Linked DNA regions of Xenopus tropicalis. The main gene of each other region encodes a partner of the protein of the gene in region 2 in a complex. Links are inferred from orthologs where the notes say so. Each region holds a gene or a part of one and is shown on either strand. Other genes may lie near its edges. The genes, in order: sf3b3, mfap1, ik, zmat2 and smu1.

Region 1 (3,522 bases), on a different chromosome or scaffold from region 2:
TTTTGCAGTGTTTAAAGGAAAACTATACCCCCAGATTGAATATTTAACCAGTTTGTGCGCTCTGTGAATCCTATGATCCCAGGAGGCGGCCCTTAATTGTTAAAATTGCAGTTTTCTATTTAGGAGTACCACATACAACTTCTCTGTAGCTTCATTTGCACTGTTAAATGCATTGTATTATAACTATCTCTTTGAAAAAGACGAGAATTCTGCTGAATAATCAATAACCATATTGTATGAATAAGCTTAATTTTATACTACTGTCATTTTAGTTGGCTTACAACAAAACCCTATTTATATTTAGTAAAAGATAAACTTTGTATCTCTCTTTGATATTCAGCTATACCATTTGCTTGTAATCAATGATAAAAACTATTTGAAACTCAAGAAAAATAATCCTTTTTACCTTTGCACTTTGTCCGGGTACCACACACAACCAGTTTTTATCTATGTACTCCCAATCCCAGAGAAGCTTTTGAGAGCCTTGGGTTGTGGTACTGTTTGAGGGGGTCATGCTGTTTTACATCATCAGAGCACAGAAACACATTAATAAAGATGGTTAAATATTAAGTAGATTTATCATCTGTCTCGTCTATCATCCTCTTTACTTTTGGTGAAAAATAGAGGATTTATCTGTAATAGTGTTTTTTTTTTTTTTTTTTTTTTTTGCTTTTTTTTTATATAGCACATTTCAAACTTTATTGTGGGAATTCAAACTATTGGGCAGCGTGTCATATTGTCTGATGTGCAGGAGAGTTTCATATGGGTTCGTTACAAGCGCAATGAAAACCAGCTGATCATATTTGCGGATGACACATACCCACGCTGGGTCACAACTTCCTGCCTCCTGGACTATGATACAGTAGCTGGAGCAGACAAGTTTGGAAATATCTGCATAGTAAGTTTCAGTAATACCCTGATTCTGATCCCTTTTATTGACCTGTTAATCTTTCTTTCATGTACAAAATGCTTTATCACCAAAAAGGCAGTATTTTAGTAAATGTATGGGATCACTTATCTGAAAAACTGTTCAAATTACGAAATTCCAGTTTTGAATTACGGAAAGGCCACCTCTCATAGACTCCATTATAAGCAAATAATTCTAGTTTTTAAAAATTGTTTCCTTTTTCTCTGCAATAATAAAACAGAACCTTGTACTTGGTCCCAACTAAGTAAAAACAAGCCTATTGGGTTTATTCAATATTTAAATGAATTTTAGCAGACTTAAGTTATAGAGATATAAAATTTACGGAAAGTTCCCTTATCCAGAATGCTCGGGACCCAGGGTATTCCAGATAACCGGGTCCCATACCTGTAACTGCAAATATTAGAGGACCGTAACATTTTAATCAATCATGATTTTAATTACACTGCCATCACCTGGGTATGGTTCTAATGCAACTGTCATTCTCTATGTAAAGCAAATTGCAGTTTTCTAGAAGTTAAAAAAAACATGTCAAAGTGTCTAAACCTTTTGTCAGATGGGACCCAGCTTATGTCTGAGCTATTGGTTCACTGCACAAAATGCCCTTCTAGGGGAATCATTGTGGAAAATTTTGTATAAGCTCAAGTTCATGGAAATAGAATTATTTATACAGTAATTATATGTTCTGTCCTTTTTCTAAAATCAGGTTTCCTTTTGCCATCCCCCTCTCAGCATCTGTCTCTACCTGGGACGGACTTGTTTGGCTCAAATACTTTGTCTACTCTAGGCAAAAGGAGCACACACCAATTTATTTGACTGAACTGTCGATCACAATTGTGCTCCTGCTTTTATAGAGAAAGATTGAAGGGATACTGGAGAGTAACTTGATATTTGATAAACTCATGTTTTTAATTGATTATATTTAAACCGTTTCTTACTTAAATGAGATGCAGCTTAGAGCTGGGCGGTATGACCAAAAATTTATATCACGGTATTTTTCAAAATTATATCGGTATCACGGTATTTGACGGTATATAAATAAAAAATAAATAATAAATATTGGTGGGCCCCCCAACCCCCCCCCACAACTCCAACCACAACCCCCCCACAACTCCAACCACAACTCCAACCACAACCCCCCAGCAGAACTTACCCAACTTGTGGTTCCTCCAGCAATGCGTCCTAGCGACGTCGCGTGCGCGCTGACGTCACATGCGCACGGGCGCAACCCGGATATAATTGAAGAAAAATAGCAGGAGGCGCGCATACCGGTGTAGCGGTATGTTTAAAAACCATATCGTTTTTTTTAAAAAAAACCGGTATACCGGTTAAACCGGTATACCGCCCAGCACTAATGCAGCTCATATTAGTTTCATTTTTTCAATAGTTCCCCTTTAATCTGAACATTTTTTTTGTTAGTATTAAATGTAATAGTATAGTTGTAGATGAAAATGTCGCTGTATAAAATAGTATATTGTTAACCCACTCTAAAGGGCATGGTGACTCTTGGGGTCCTGCTTCTATGTAACCAAGAATCATAAAATATATATTGATGTTTTATATAATTTATAATTTTTATAATACATCAGTAAGCTGTAGCTTGTTTTGCATACTTCTAGTTACAAAATTCCTCTGTAAATCTAACATTTGTGCTGTGTATATGTAAATGTATTGTTGCTCAGTTGCCACAGTTGCTTTATTTACACCAAAAGCTTGGTTGTCTAAAATTGCTGACTCTCCTTAGGTTCGATTACCTTCCAATACTAATGATGATGTTGATGAGGATCCTACTGGTAACAAAGCATTATGGGACAGAGGTCTTCTGAATGGAGCATCTCAGAAGGTAAGTTTCTGAAAGTGTAAAAGTCTTTGCTTCTGTTTTCATTAGACTCCTATTTATCATTGCTCTTTGTTTCAGGCTGAAGTAATTGTAAATTACCATGTTGGAGAGACTGTTCTTTCAGTACAGAAGACTACACTAATCCCAGGAGGCTCAGAATCCCTGGTGTACACTACCTTATCAGGAGGCATTGGTATCCTTGTACCATTCACATCACATGAGGTAACTGTATATTTCTTTGCATGTTAGAGAAAAATATCATAATATTGGCTTGCACCACTGCCACACAGACTGCTAACCAGACAATAAGTACAAAGGATATGACTGCCAACTGTAGTCATATTACGTGTATTTCATTTTCATCCAGACCTATGTGCATTTTGCTTTGACTCCTGACCCATTCCTGAAAGTTTTTCATATATGTGGCAGGAATTCTACATGCACACTCAGGATCAGTTCATTACCGTTTATCTGAAATCAGGTCCGTTTACATTGTTAATCCTGCTTACTGAAGATAGCGTTTTCAGATTAGTTATGGGAGTAGAAGAGGTGCAGAGTAAAGAAAAAAAAAACAAAACACTTTTCTAAATATGAATAAATGAAATGCAATCTCTGAGTTGGAGGAGGCAGAGGCAAAATATTATTAAATTATTTTAATATTTGTACTGTTCATATTTACTTAGAGCTCTATCTTCTCATTAGCCCTTCCTGTTTTGTTAAGCATGCATGCAAGCAATCGGTACAGGTATGGACTCAT
Region 2 (2,898 bases):
TACACTGAGACAGGGACTCATGATTGCTTTATATGTTACTCTGTGTGTCCAATGTATGAAACCCACTTATTGTACAGCACTGCAGAATATGTTGGCGTGTTTTAAATAAATGTTAAAAATAAATAATAATATTATTGACTATATGCCTGGGTGGAAAGATTTTCAAAATTTCAGATATTTTGCCCCAAAAAGTTTAACAGCAGATCTGTATATGACTGACCATGTAACTATAATGCATGAAGCCAACCCAAATTCACTTTTCATTATAAAACTACGTACCCAGGCAACTCTTTGTCACTTGTACTGTGCTTACTTTCCAGTCAGCAGATAGCATGTGGGACAATAAAAGGTCTTGCATAGACAGATACCTGTACATCAGACCAATCCACACAAGATGCTGAATGCTGGACATGAGAAAATGGACCAGTGGCTTTCATTACTGTACAAGCAAAACAATTATTTCACAGGATTGATAGAGGGGCATACAAAAATCGTTAGGAGATATGACAGAGTAACTTTTTTATTTACAAATATTATCAAATCTTGCCTCGGTTTCAGTGTTCCTGAATGTCAAAATGATTCTAACTAAAAAATACCTTTTATAACATTTTTGAAAAAACTGTGAAAATCTCTGTTTCTCCACAGCTTGGAGAATGCTTTGTGATTTGCTAATGACAAACCCAACAATTCATTCACACATTAAAAAAAAAAACATTACATTACTTGCAAATTATATATACAGAGTATGTGCAAGTAATGGTGGTCCTTGTTTATGAGCTGCAGTTCTTTTTATAACCCAGAAAATATGGACAAGTCCCTCATAGACACGGACATTTATGTCTTTCTTTTCTGCACAGTCGGCCTCTCAAACACATCCCTTACTCCTGCTGCCTTCTGTTTGAAGAACTTTGTGTTCTGTGGATTGTCCTGACCCCAAGCAGAGTCAAATGAAGTGGTGTCCTGATCAACCAAGTGAGTATATTTTGTCCGACCTGAACGTCCAAAATTCTTGACCTGAATAAAACAGATGATATCAATTTATGAACTGGATTGGAAAACCACAGATTAAAATCTTCCATGCTATGAACCCAACATAAATGGCATAAGTAAATTGTAGCCAGTGCAAATTAAGGACATGTTTAAGATATATTGGGCTATTGTGTGGGGACTAGCAGAGGATTTCACAGCTACTGGAAATGAAAATTTTGACAAAAAAGGACAGTTTAATATTTATAACCATTTTGCTCCATAATTTCCAGTTGACTAACATCTCCCAAGCAATTTTGTTTGCTTTATATATAGAATCACTAGAAAACAAACACTTCAGTTTCTTGCTTTTGGAAAAATATTCCATTGTATTTATGTAATGGAAACATTAAGGGGTGAATGCATAATGTTTTCCCTCCTGCATATATTTTATAACAGTGTTACTGATGGCTGGCAGTTTTAGACTTTGCTAACTCTTCATTGTTCACTACCACCTTCCTAATCACATCCAGTATCCCTCCTATACTGTGATAATACACATTTTTGTGTGGCCCAGTAAAACAGGGAATCAATCTAATACTTTAGAATTCAGGCAGAGCAAAAAAAAGTAAGAAACGGCAACATTCTTGCAATTACCTGCATGACCTTGGGCAATATAGTCTTATTAAAATGATCCTCCAAGGTGGGTGCACTGAAATCCCTTTTATATACATCTTCATCTCCATCCTATGGGGGGAAAAAAAAGACAAAGCTTTCTGTAAAATAAGCTTCTGTAAAATTCATCAAAATTTATCAAAATGTGAGAGTACCGAGCTCACCACAGAAAAATTCACCAATTTCCATAATATCAGATTTTTAGAAGCAAATTTATCAAATGGTGAATTCTAACATTTACTCTTTTAAAAATCCCACAGGAATGAATATAGAATGGGTAAATTAGTTAAATAGTTCTTACCATGAAGAATGCACCTCTGTGGTAATATTTTTGCAGAAATTTGTATTTCCCCTTCAGTGCCTTGTTGGTTATTATTTTGCCGTTTGCACGCAGCTCTGCCCGTCTTTCCTCATCTGTCATGTTACGCAGACGATCAACCTCTGCCTTTTCCTTCTCCATCCTGTTACATGACACATAAACAAAATAACATTTAACTTTAGGCACACAAGTCCAGGTAAACTGTGAAAGTTATCAGTATTATCCAAAGTGTAAAGAAACCATGGCAAGCAGTAAATGAGCCGTACAGTATGACTTTATCCATAGAGTCGGGATAGAAATACTTACGCCTCTCTTTCTTCTCGGTCTCGCTTGATGCGCTTTAACTCTCTTACTTTCCAGGCTTCATATTCCTCTTCATCATTCTCATCATCTGTGTTGAGGGCATCAAGGGCTGCCAGGGATCGCTTATTCTCTTCAATCTCCTTCTTTGTTTCCTCCTCTACAATCTGTACATGAAATATTGCAGTGAGGAAGCAGAAAGTTCTAACAAAACTACCACTGCATCAAGACAAATACTTACCTTCAAGGTGTATTTCCTTCTCTCCTCTGCCATTCGTTTTGTCTCTGCCTCCAGCTCCTTCTGTTTAAGCGCCTCAGCTTCTTTTTCCTGCACAGTAACTCTGTCTTTCCTGAAATGGTTACAGCAACATACTGTAAGCCCTTTGGTATTTAACATCAAGCAGAGAGCCATTTCATATATGGAAAATCACAGTTGCTATAATTTTAAATGTCCCAAATACATTAAAGATATTTTTTTTTCAGCCTGCAGCTGCATAATGCAGGTGGGTCACAAGAAAATAAGAGCAAAGATGCTGAGATAAAATGCAGGGGAGCAGGGGAGACTACCCCCTCCCAAAAAAAAAACAGATACTGCCCCTTTAATTTGTAACCTTGGAAACTGGGAGAACGTACATTAC
Region 3 (3,522 bases), about 85 Mb from region 2:
TGTTTGAAATTGTGAGTTTGAGGACCATTGTGATCACCTTTACCAGTCCAGGTTGCCATGCTGTGGGGTTGAGGTTGCACAGTTGCAGGATACTGAAAAAGGTTGGGGTTGGAAATTGCCATCTGAACATTCTTGTGAATATGGATATTGAGACAAAATGAGGCCCTGTAAGGATTGGTACTTAGAACTAGGGATTGTATCCATTAAGAAAGTAATACAGTGGTTTAGCACCTACATTCGTTAAAGTGCATTTGCCACTTGGAACCAGTTAGCAATTAGCTTATAAAAGTCTGCTACAAGCTGGAAAATGAAAGGAAAGACTTGACTGGTTCTGTTGGCAGCTGCACTTGTGCAGTTTTGCAGCTATATGTATTATAATGTGAGATTCATGCAAACCCTGTGTTTTCGCATTTTCCAGAACAGGTAGTTGAGATGTTATGTTTTTGGCATTTGAAAAACTGTACCATTTTATTGTTTATTTCCATAAAGCTATCAAATAAAATTTAAATTGAATTCTGATGTTTCCTTGATGTGGAAATATCGGTGCTGTTCCAGGAGCGTGCCCTCAGCTTTATGGGAGGCGGCATATATTTATTAGTGTAAAGTTGCCTAAAAGAGTGTATTGGCTGTGCTATGTATGTATGTATAACTTTATTTATAAAGTGCCACAAGGGTACGCAGCGCTGTACAATCTTGCAGAATACAAAATTGCACACAGGGAGGACAAGTGATAAAGTGATATAATAAATAAATACAATATATATATATATATATAAATACAATATATATATATATATATATATATATATATATATATATATATATATATATATATATATATATATATATATATATATATATATATATATATATATATATAATATATAATATATAGCAAATGGAAATTGAGAGAGGCTGCGGCAGCAGCCGAAACGTTAGATGTTGATTTAATAAACACCTTATGCTTTACATAAGACCTGTGAGTGCGGGACATTTCCATTTGCTATTATTCCTAAACTTTTGGGGACTGCACCCAGGCATGGCTATTGCTCTATGACTTGAGTGCCTGTCTACAAGCAGAATATATATATATATATATTAATATAATATATATAGAATAATATATATAAGACAAAAAAGTGTCAGCACTCACAGGATTTAAAATATTTGAAAAAAAGATACATTTTATTACAAAATATGAAAAAGGAACATTACAGACCTCAACGTTTCAGTCCCCCACAGGGACTTTTGTCAGGAGGCAGAGAAAAGACAGTACAAACATCTCTAACTCTCATGACCTTTAAATTTACTCACATTTACTCTGTATACAGCTGCCTACCAACCCCCACCAAGCCCCAATTGTAACTCTTAGACAATATGCAGGAATGTTTTAAAAGCAATTAGATCAAGATTATAGTCATATGATGAATATATCATTAGAAATGCCCCATACAACAGTAAGGGAAGCCATTAATATTTGTACAGTGCCACTGGGACCCCACGTGGGGAAATGTACCCTCTGTGCAGCTGTATGTGTGAGTTGTAGTTCCACAATAGATTAGTCATGCAGTTTATATATATATATATTATATATATATATAATATATATTATAGAAAATAATCATCCGTGGCCAGCACACCCTTCAATGTTTTATCAAAAATTTATTGAAAATATATACATCTAAGTGCTATCCCTCCAACCACAGATATTACCATCTGCATCTTTCGTATCCCAACATAGTCACAAAACAGATCACAATTGTGATTTTGGGAGGTATTCTCTTACATAACATATATGTGACGTCTCTCAATTATAGCTTGTTTTTGCGGTTACAGCCTGATTTATTTGTATGACAATCTTCACTTTAGGGTAACAAAAAGGGCCCCTTAGGCCGATGGGACTTTGATACACAGGAAGAATACAGCGAGTATATGAACAACAAAGAAGCATTACCCAAGTGAGTTGTATTTTGATTGCATGCCTAAGAAATGCTCTGTTTATAAGGATTATATTAGAATGCATAGTAGTATTTGGTTTATTTCTTTATTTTATTTCAGCAAAGCCTGTTGTAGGTTACTCACAGGAAGACTTATCTCTATGTTTGTGATTTGTACACCTTTAGAACCATTTAGTTATTATATTGAATATTAATATATTCATATGTTTTAAAACATCACCAAACTAACAAATGTTCAATTTGGCCACACAAGTGCTGGGACATAGTTGATAGAATTCTTTGGCCCCTGGGTTAACATTCAGATCCTAACACAGGCCTGTGCAGATGTGACCTACTAGTTTTTAAAGCCTAACCCCTGATACAGGTATTGGGCCTGTTATACAGAATGCTTGGTACCTGGGGTTTTCCAGGGGGGGTCTTTCCATAATTTGGATCTCCAGACCTCAAGTCTACTAAATAATAATTTAAACATTAAAAAACCCAATAGAATTGTTTTGCCACCAGCAAGGATTAATTATGTCTTAGTTGGGATCAAGTAGCTGTACTCAGTGAAGTTTAGGATGTTACTATTATTATGCACACGTACGATGTGCATAAAAACCCTGCATGTAAAGAATTGTGAAACCTTTCCCTTGTCCATTCTGTACGCAGTCATTTTATAGTATGAGTGTTTCTTTCTTTACAGGGCTGCTTTCCAGTACGGCATTAAAATGTCCGAAGGGCGTAAAACACGGCGCTTCAAAGAGACTAACGAGAAGGCCGAGCTGGACAGACAGTGGAAAAAAATTAGTGCAGTAAGTGTCAGACGTCTTTCTGTTTTTAATTTCCAGTCTCTTCTTCCATTTGTAATTATTGTATTCCCCAGTGGGGCATTCATTCCTCTTGTGTGTAAGGGATACAAAGTATTGGGCCAAACTTCTTGCTGACCTGGTGGTTAGTTGTCCTGCCTTGTGACTATTGGTTAGTTTGGCTTCTCTGATAGGTCTAATTGCCATCTTGGAGCAAGGAAGGGATTTTTCTCCCTCAGAAGATTATTTCTCTCAATCAACTAGCAGTCAGGCAAGTTTCTGACAAAAAGGTTGAACTCGATGGGTGTGTGTCTTTTTCCAGCCTATGTTACTATGTATTCAGCCAAAGAGATAAAGTTTATAGAGACTCAAGCTCAGTTTTTGAAATGATGGATGTAAGGGGATTCTGTTTCTCTGACTACAGGAAAGTGTCACTATGCCTACTTAAACCATATTGAAGATCAATTAAAAAGTTGCTTAGAATTTTCCATTCCATAACAAACTAAAAGTTAGCATAAAGGTGAACCACCCCTTTAACACAGTTTTAATGTAAAAAAATAATTTTCTTTTAACCTGTTTTAACTTATTATATGTTTAATGAAACAATCCCTTTGTACTGTAAGCTAATATGGGTGATATTGAAGTACCAGATATCTAATAACTACTGTTTTTACTTTCCAGATTATTGAAAAACGGAAGAAACTTGAGGCGGATGGGTAAGAAAAGCATAATTATATCTGTGGCCATCTTGTTGTATTTGCTTCTGGGTTTGTGCG
Region 4 (3,522 bases), about 81 Mb from region 2:
TGTATGCACCTGGCCTTATCTGCCTGGCCCTTAGCGGTAAATACTTAAAGGGGTTGTTCACCTTTTTAGAATGTAGTAGAGAGTGCTACTCTGAAACAATCTGCATCTGGTCTTCATTTTTTATTTGTAGTTTTTGTAATTATTTAGCTTTATATCCAGCAACTCTCCAGTTTCAAATTCTAGCAGCTATATGGTTTCTAGGGTCCAAATAACCCTAGAAACCAGGCAGTTGTTCAAATGAGAAGCTGGGATACAAATAGGAGAGGGTCTGGATAGAAAGGTATGTAATAAAAAGTAACGCTAACCGTGAAACTAGCCTCAAAGAGCAATATTTTTTTGGCTGCTGGGCTAAGTGACCCCCATTTAAAAGCTATAAAGGGTCAGAAGAGGAAAGCAAATATTAAAAAAAAAATGAAGACCAAATGAAACGTCGCTGAAACTGTATCATACATACTAAAAGTTAACTTAAAATCCATCAGAGAAAAAGGGATTTAATTGGTGTCATATAAATTATCATGTCAGCAGTGCTAAGATTTGTAGTTTAACAAGGGCTTCAGGTTGTATATCCCTGGTATTCCGACGTCCTTTTAATCTTTGATAAACATAAGCATCTGTTTGCTATAATGGGTACTTAACCACAAGCAGTTAGGATCCATTTAGAGCTGTACTACTATGCTTTGCATTTTATTGGTCTCCAGGAGATCATTTGATTTCATAAAATGTCTAGCCTATCAAAGCTTTGACCGCAAAAAAAGCCTATAAGGCCTATGACAGATGGGGTGCTTTACTGTCTGAGAAATCTCTTCTCCTGAAGTGCCTGAAAATACCTGCCCCTCTGCAACTTGAATTGCCAGGTATTTTTGGGAGCTTTGTTACCTGTGGAGAGAAGATTTCCTGCAGGCGATTATTTGCCTTATCTGTCCGTGCTCTAAGGAAAATTTAAAGCAAAACAACAAGTATTGTATGAGTGGCAGTCTTGTACATGGCAGTGCCCACGGCCTGCAGAGAGAAGACATACAGTATTAAATCAAACAGCTCTGAACTGAATTTCCACACAATAAATAGAATACCAATAAGATAAAATAGGGCTGGCTCGGATCTTTGCACATGATTCTTAACAGGTTAATAGCTCAATGGATTTGTGTAGAAAATAAGCAAATTTCATTTATGCAGTGTAAATTATCCACATCAATAAATGCACATATATTGTGTTCTAGGCAAACCTTTACAGCCCATTAAGAGGGAATTACTCCGACACAGAGACTATAAGGTGGATCTGGAGTCCAAGCTGGGAAAGACCATTGTCATTACAAAGACCACTCCACAGTCTGAAATGGGAGGGTAAGTAGCATATAATGTGCTAAGGACAATGTTGACTCAACTATAAATGTAATCACCATTTAAAAGTTGAGGTACAACCAGGTTATGTCTCATTTGTGGTGATGGAGAGTTGGAGTCAACAAATGCACCAGTTTATAGAGCTACTCATGCGCACTCCTATACCTATGCTTGTGCTTTAATAAACTTTCAGTTTCTTTTTACTGATGCAATGTGAGTTGGAATGATATTATATTATACCCCCCCCCAGCAGCATATCAACAAGTGATGTGAGGCTAGACATGTTTTTACTTTCCCTAGTGCCCCCTTGTGATTTGTGCTCTGATGATGAACTTCAGTCACTCTTTAGGGTAAGAACACATGGAGCGAGTTCGTCTTCCATGATAGATCTCTGCTAACATCGGCAACTAACCACTCCGAAAAGGCTTTCCGCCAGCTGAAAGCCCTTTGCATTGCTTTGGTAATCCGAAGTTGCACTAAGTTTCCTCCTGCAGGCGACTTCGAAAAACAAAGCAATGCAAAGGGCTTTCCAGCAGCAACAATAGAAGTTGCTGGTGGAAAGCCTTTTCTGAGTTAGTTAGTCGCCCTAGATAGCAGCGATTTATTGCGGACGATTAACCGTGGGTTCTTACCGTTACTGCTGCTACTGATGCATAAGTAGAAGTGCCATAAAGGTGGACTTTCACTGCTCCATTTTTGTTACTCTGTGTGCTTTTTATTTAATATTATGTGTTTTAGCTGTGTTGGCCACTGGTATGCCAAGTACCCTGTGTATGGCCTAAATAAATGGGAAATATTACTTGCTTCACCTAAGGCGTTCTCCGTAGACACAGAGAGCTACAATATCTATGAGTGTGTATGTTGCTCTGTTCATCTGAAATCTGGTACATTGCTTAAAAGAATACCCAATTGTAAATGTCTCACACCAATATTTAATCAAAGCAAAGCTCTTATGGCTATGTGACCACTACTACACATTTTGGTACACTTCTTATACCCACAGGTCAATAAGGCAAAACCTCAGAAATCTTTATCAGCGATATCTCCTGTATCAATAATTCTCAAAGAAACAAGAAGATAGGTAGAAGAAGATAGATAGGGCTGCACAAAGTAAGAGCAACATAGACTACACTTGTTAGGTAATGTGGTCACATCAGTATTCTCATGTCGGATACCTTCTCTGTGGTGCCTCAGACCCTTATAATTCTCTGGTACAATGGAATCCACTTTTTCTCTCTTGGGGTGGGTAGGGGGAAACAACTGAGAAGGTGTCTGTGCTGTGAGAGTATTGGTGTTCTCTCTTTCAGTTTACTTAACAATGTACTGTTGTTATGGCATGGAAATTACTATTAATTTGTGGTGCTCTAACCATGCACTGCCTCCTGCTCTTGCTCCTTAGAGATTTATTAGTATGCAAAAAACTGCTATGGGAGGAAGTGAGGAGGAGTGCCCCTTGCATTGTTGTACGGTGGATATTCTGCAGATTTTTAAGAATTTTGCTGTAAGAACTGCACTAAAAGTGCAGTAAATGGTAATAGAACATTCTATGCTCGTTAATCTAAGTACCACTTACTATCTACAGAAGTAAATACATGGGAAAGAACTGATAATCGGAAAAAATCCCTTTTATGGATCTCGCTGCACATTGTGAAATCGTCTGGGCTTATCCCTTTATATAGAAATTGCCTTATATTGAAGATCCCATAAATGAACAGCAATGTATGTGCTATAAAACCAATGTAATGGCTTGTTCCATGACATTTCTGTTGATTTATGGGCCTCTGTTGGACAGCCGTTATAGATTGATTGTTTATTATGTACCGTATCATTAAATATCGATTGTGTCAGCCACAGAGTTTTGACAAGCCTTATGCAGGCTTGTGCTCAATAATTTGCATTCCTCTAGTAAAATCCTTTTAAATGACTCTAAAATGGAAATAAATAGAAATCGGAAGCTTAAGCTTGTTAAGTCCGTAAACCCTTGCATTGGAGAGCCCCAATTTTAGTCATGGCCTCTAGAATACAATAAAATTTTTGTTTGTGTAGAATGTGGATTAGACTGCTCAAGGCTTGTGTGCGCTGCATAGTTGGTCTTTAAAACCTGGTGCTTGACTCTACAGTTGACTCCATTACAGTGCATATATTTAAAAAAAATTTAGAGCAACAACTCTGGTTCAAAACTGG
Region 5 (3,522 bases), on a different chromosome or scaffold from region 2:
AACACTGTGGATAGTATTGAGAGCTTTGTGGCTGACATCAATAGTGGCCATTGGGATACTGTACTTCAAGCTATTCAGTCACTGAAACTGCCAGACAAGACTCTCATCGACCTCTATGAACAGGTATCGGGAAAATCACATTGTGTGTGTGTGTGTGTATATATATATATAAATATTATACGCACTCACGGCAGTCGTGTAAAAAAAAAAAAAAAAAAAGCAGTTACAAATTTTTAAATCTTTATTCCTCAACATTGAGTGTGGAGTGATAAAGATTTGTAACTACTTTTTCTACACATGGCTGCTGTGAGTTCTTTCTACCGTATTTTTTTTCTAGGAATAGCACCTGGCGTGTTATCAAATTGGTGAGTATTGATATGGAAAATTATATACATTTTTTTTTTTTTATTGATTGCTTTAATTGCAGAGCAGTCTCACCACAGGTATCCAGTTTTTATACTGGGAAACATGTCTGTGGTACTTATTGCTTTGCTGATATCAAAAAATAAGGCAGTTTTTAGTGATATCCACTTAACAGCACAGATAAATAAATTCGCTTATGTGGACAGATAATTCTGACTCTCTGCCAGCACTAAGTCCAAAGTGGTAATTTTTTTGCTGTATCATTATATTTACACTGGTACTTTTTGATGCTGCATTATAATTGAGCAAAGGGGCATCCCTACGATGCCCCACTGTTGGAATAAAGCGTGACTGCGCTTGGAACTGTTAGTAAAACATCCTTAATCTTGAGAGTTTTATTGTATAAATCAGTGTTTGTTAATATGTGGATATCTTCATCACTTGTGTCTAAACATCAACCAAAAAAAATAATTATAAAGAACTCATAATTCTAACATTCCAATTTATTAAACAATTTAAGTGCTTTGTAATTGCTATTGGAAGCAGCATTTGTTTAAAGGACATAGGGTGTAATAAAAGAAAACATAGTTCTAAGCATCTTTGAAATATACAGTGGTGTGAAAAACTATTTGCCCCCTTCCTGATTTCTTATTCTTTTGCATGTTTGTCACACTTAAATGTTTCTGCTCATCAAAAACCGTTAACTATTAGTCAAAGATAACATAATTGAACACAAAATGCAGTTTTTAAATGAAGGTTTACGTTCTTAAGGGAGAAAAAAACTCCAAATCTACATGGCCCTGCGTGAAAAAGTGATTGCCCCCCTTGTTAAAAAATAACTTAACTGTGGTTTATCAATTTCAATTTTCAATTTCAATATCAATTTCTGTAGTCACCCCCAGGCCTGATTACTGCCACACCTGTTTCAATCAAGAAATCATTTAAATAGGAGCTACCTGACACAGAGAAGTAGACCAAAAGCACCTCAAAAGCTAGACATCATGCCAAGATCCAAAGAAATTCAGGAACAAATGAGAACAAAAGTAATTGAGATCTATCAGTCTGGTAAAGGTTATAAAGCCATTTCTAAAGCTTTGGGACTCCAGCGAACCACAGTGAGAGCCATTATCCACAAATGGCAAAAACATGGAACAGTGGTGAACCTTCCCAGGAGTGGCCGGCCGACCAAAATTACCCCAAGAGCGCAGAGACAACTCATCCGAGAGGCCACAAAAGACCCCAGGACAACATCTAAAGAACTGCAGGCCTCACTTGCCTCAATTAAAGTCAGTGTTCACGACTCTACCATAAGAAAGAGACTGGGCAAAAACAGCCTGCATGGCAGATTTCCAAGGCGCAAACCACTTTTAAGCAAAAAGAACATTATGGCTCGTCTCAATTTTGCTAAAAAACATCTCAATGATTGCCAAGACTTTTGAGAAAATACCTTGTGGACCGACGAGACAAAAGTTGAACTTTTTGGAAGGTGCATGTCCCGTTACATCTGGCGTAAAAGTAACACAGCATTTCAGAAAAAGAACATCATACCAACAGTAAAATATGGTGGTGGTAGTGTGATGGTCTGGGGTTGTTTTGCTGCTTCAGGACCTGGAAGCCTTGCTGTGATAGATGGAACCATGAATTCTACTGTCTACCAAAAAATCCTGAAGGAGAATGTCCGGCCATCTGTTCGTCAACTCAAGCTGAAGCGATCTTGGGTGCTGCAGCAGGACAATGACCCAAAACACACCCGCAAATCCACCTCTGAGTGGCTGAAGAAAAACAAAATGAAGACTTTGGAGTGGCCTAGTCAAAGTCCTGACCTGAATCCTATTGAGATGTTGTGGCATGACCTTAAAAAGGTGGTTCATGCTAGAAAACCCTCAAATAAAGCTGAATTACAACAATTCTGCAAAGATGAGTGGGCCAAAATTCCTCCAGAGCGCTGTAAAAGACTCATTGCAAGTTATCGCAAACGCTTGATTGCAGATATTACTGCTAAGGGTGGCCCAACCAGTTATTAGGTTCAGGGGGCAATTACTTTTTCACACAGGGCCATGTAGGTTTGGATTTTTTTTCCTCCCTAAATAATAAAAACCCTCATTTAAAAACTGCATTTTGTGTTTACTTGTGTTATCTTTGACTAATAGTTAAATGTGTTTGATGATCAGAAACATTTTGTGTGACAAACATGCAAAAGAATAAGAAATCAGGAAGGGGGCAAATAGTTTTTCACACCACTGTACATTCATTACACATTTGTAATGGTTTTTAAGTAATTTGTATAAATTACTGCAATTAAAAGCAGTGTTTGTCTGTCCTTTTCTATTTTCTGCCCTGGTGTCTCTGACTGTTGAAACAACGTGAAACAAGCCAGCTGGAGAAGACTGGCTTTTGCAACATTGTTTAAAAACTCATAACCGGGAGTTAAAGGACATGTAAACCCCCCACACAAAAAAAAAATATTCAGTGAACAGCCTCTTTGAAATCTATAAATACCTGCCACTCCTGTTGTTCAAAGGTTAATAGTAAGGCTGCAGCTTTATATTAATCACTTGGGATTCCTTCTCCTCCTCTTAATTGCTCGGCCCCTTCCATTAGGAATTGACTTTCGTTAACTCAGCATGCACAGTTCTATCAACTCAGATTATAAACACACCCTCAAGTCTAGAAGCGAAATAAGAGATCCACTGCTGGTTTCTATAGAAGCATGTTTTTTCTCCTAACCTCCTCCTCTTCAGCTCATCTAAATAGTGTTTTCTCCTATAAGTAACCTGTTGAATGTAGAAAACAAAAGTGCTGAAATATAGCTGAATTAAGTGACTTCCATATTGTTATTGTGTCCTTTTTTGGCATATTTGAACAAAATGAATGCATACTGCTAACAATGCTGTATAATTATGATATTTGCATAATGATTGATTTTGTTTTTTATAGGTTGTATTAGAACTAATTGAACTTCGTGAGCTGGGAGCTGCTAGATCCCTCCTGAGGCAAACAGACCCTATGATAATGTTAAAACAGAACCAACCAGAAAGATACATTCATCTTGAGAACTTACTGGCCAGATCATATTTTGACCCACGAGAGGTATGTATTTTTGATTCATAATCCACAGTCCTAACATTTTAACAGTGATTAGGACATCACTGCAGTTTT

What was found.
Region 1: mfap1 (region 2) and sf3b3 share a complex: the UniProt entries of both Homo sapiens proteins name them as parts of the spliceosome B complex. The link is inferred for Xenopus tropicalis from reciprocal best matches to the Homo sapiens genes MFAP1 and SF3B3.
Region 3: mfap1 (region 2) and ik share a complex: the UniProt entries of both Homo sapiens proteins name them as parts of the spliceosome B complex. The link is inferred for Xenopus tropicalis from reciprocal best matches to the Homo sapiens genes MFAP1 and IK.
Region 4: mfap1 (region 2) and zmat2 share a complex: the UniProt entries of both Homo sapiens proteins name them as parts of the spliceosome B complex. The link is inferred for Xenopus tropicalis from reciprocal best matches to the Homo sapiens genes MFAP1 and ZMAT2.
Region 5: mfap1 (region 2) and smu1 share a complex: the UniProt entries of both Homo sapiens proteins name them as parts of the spliceosome B complex. The link is inferred for Xenopus tropicalis from reciprocal best matches to the Homo sapiens genes MFAP1 and SMU1.

Annotation. Positions count from the first base shown.
Region 1 is NC_030680.2:75,062,898-75,066,419, forward strand, and holds part of sf3b3 (splicing factor 3B subunit 3), read left to right. Parts: intron 1-685; coding exon 686-898; intron 899-2,669; coding exon 2,670-2,768; intron 2,769-2,843; coding exon 2,844-2,987; intron 2,988-3,522. UniProt on the Homo sapiens protein: Component of the 17S U2 SnRNP complex of the spliceosome, a large ribonucleoprotein complex that removes introns from transcribed pre-mRNAs.
Region 2 is NC_030679.2:107,681,151-107,684,048, forward strand, and holds the end of mfap1 (microfibrillar-associated protein 1), read right to left. Parts: intron 2,611-2,898; coding exon 2,502-2,610; intron 2,428-2,501; coding exon 2,267-2,427; intron 2,103-2,266; coding exon 1,943-2,102; intron 1,714-1,942; coding exon 1,624-1,713; intron 1,015-1,623; coding exon 835-1,014; 3' UTR 505-834; downstream 1-504. UniProt on the Homo sapiens protein: Involved in pre-mRNA splicing as a component of the spliceosome.
Region 3 is NC_030679.2:22,991,309-22,994,830, forward strand, and holds part of ik (protein Red), read left to right. Parts: intron 1-1,869; coding exon 1,870-1,958; intron 1,959-2,643; coding exon 2,644-2,752; intron 2,753-3,427; coding exon 3,428-3,462; intron 3,463-3,522. UniProt on the Homo sapiens protein: Involved in pre-mRNA splicing as a component of the spliceosome. Auxiliary spliceosomal protein that regulates selection of alternative splice sites in a small set of target pre-mRNA species. Required for normal mitotic cell cycle progression.
Region 4 is NC_030679.2:26,873,153-26,876,674, forward strand, and holds part of zmat2 (zinc finger matrin-type protein 2), read left to right. Parts: intron 1-1,217; coding exon 1,218-1,341; intron 1,342-3,522. UniProt on the Homo sapiens protein: Involved in pre-mRNA splicing as a component of the spliceosome.
Region 5 is NC_030677.2:94,423,664-94,427,185, forward strand, and holds part of smu1 (WD40 repeat-containing protein SMU1), read left to right. Parts: coding exon 1-123; intron 124-3,300; coding exon 3,301-3,453; intron 3,454-3,522. UniProt on the Homo sapiens protein: Involved in pre-mRNA splicing as a component of the spliceosome. Regulates alternative splicing of the HSPG2 pre-mRNA. Required for normal accumulation of IK.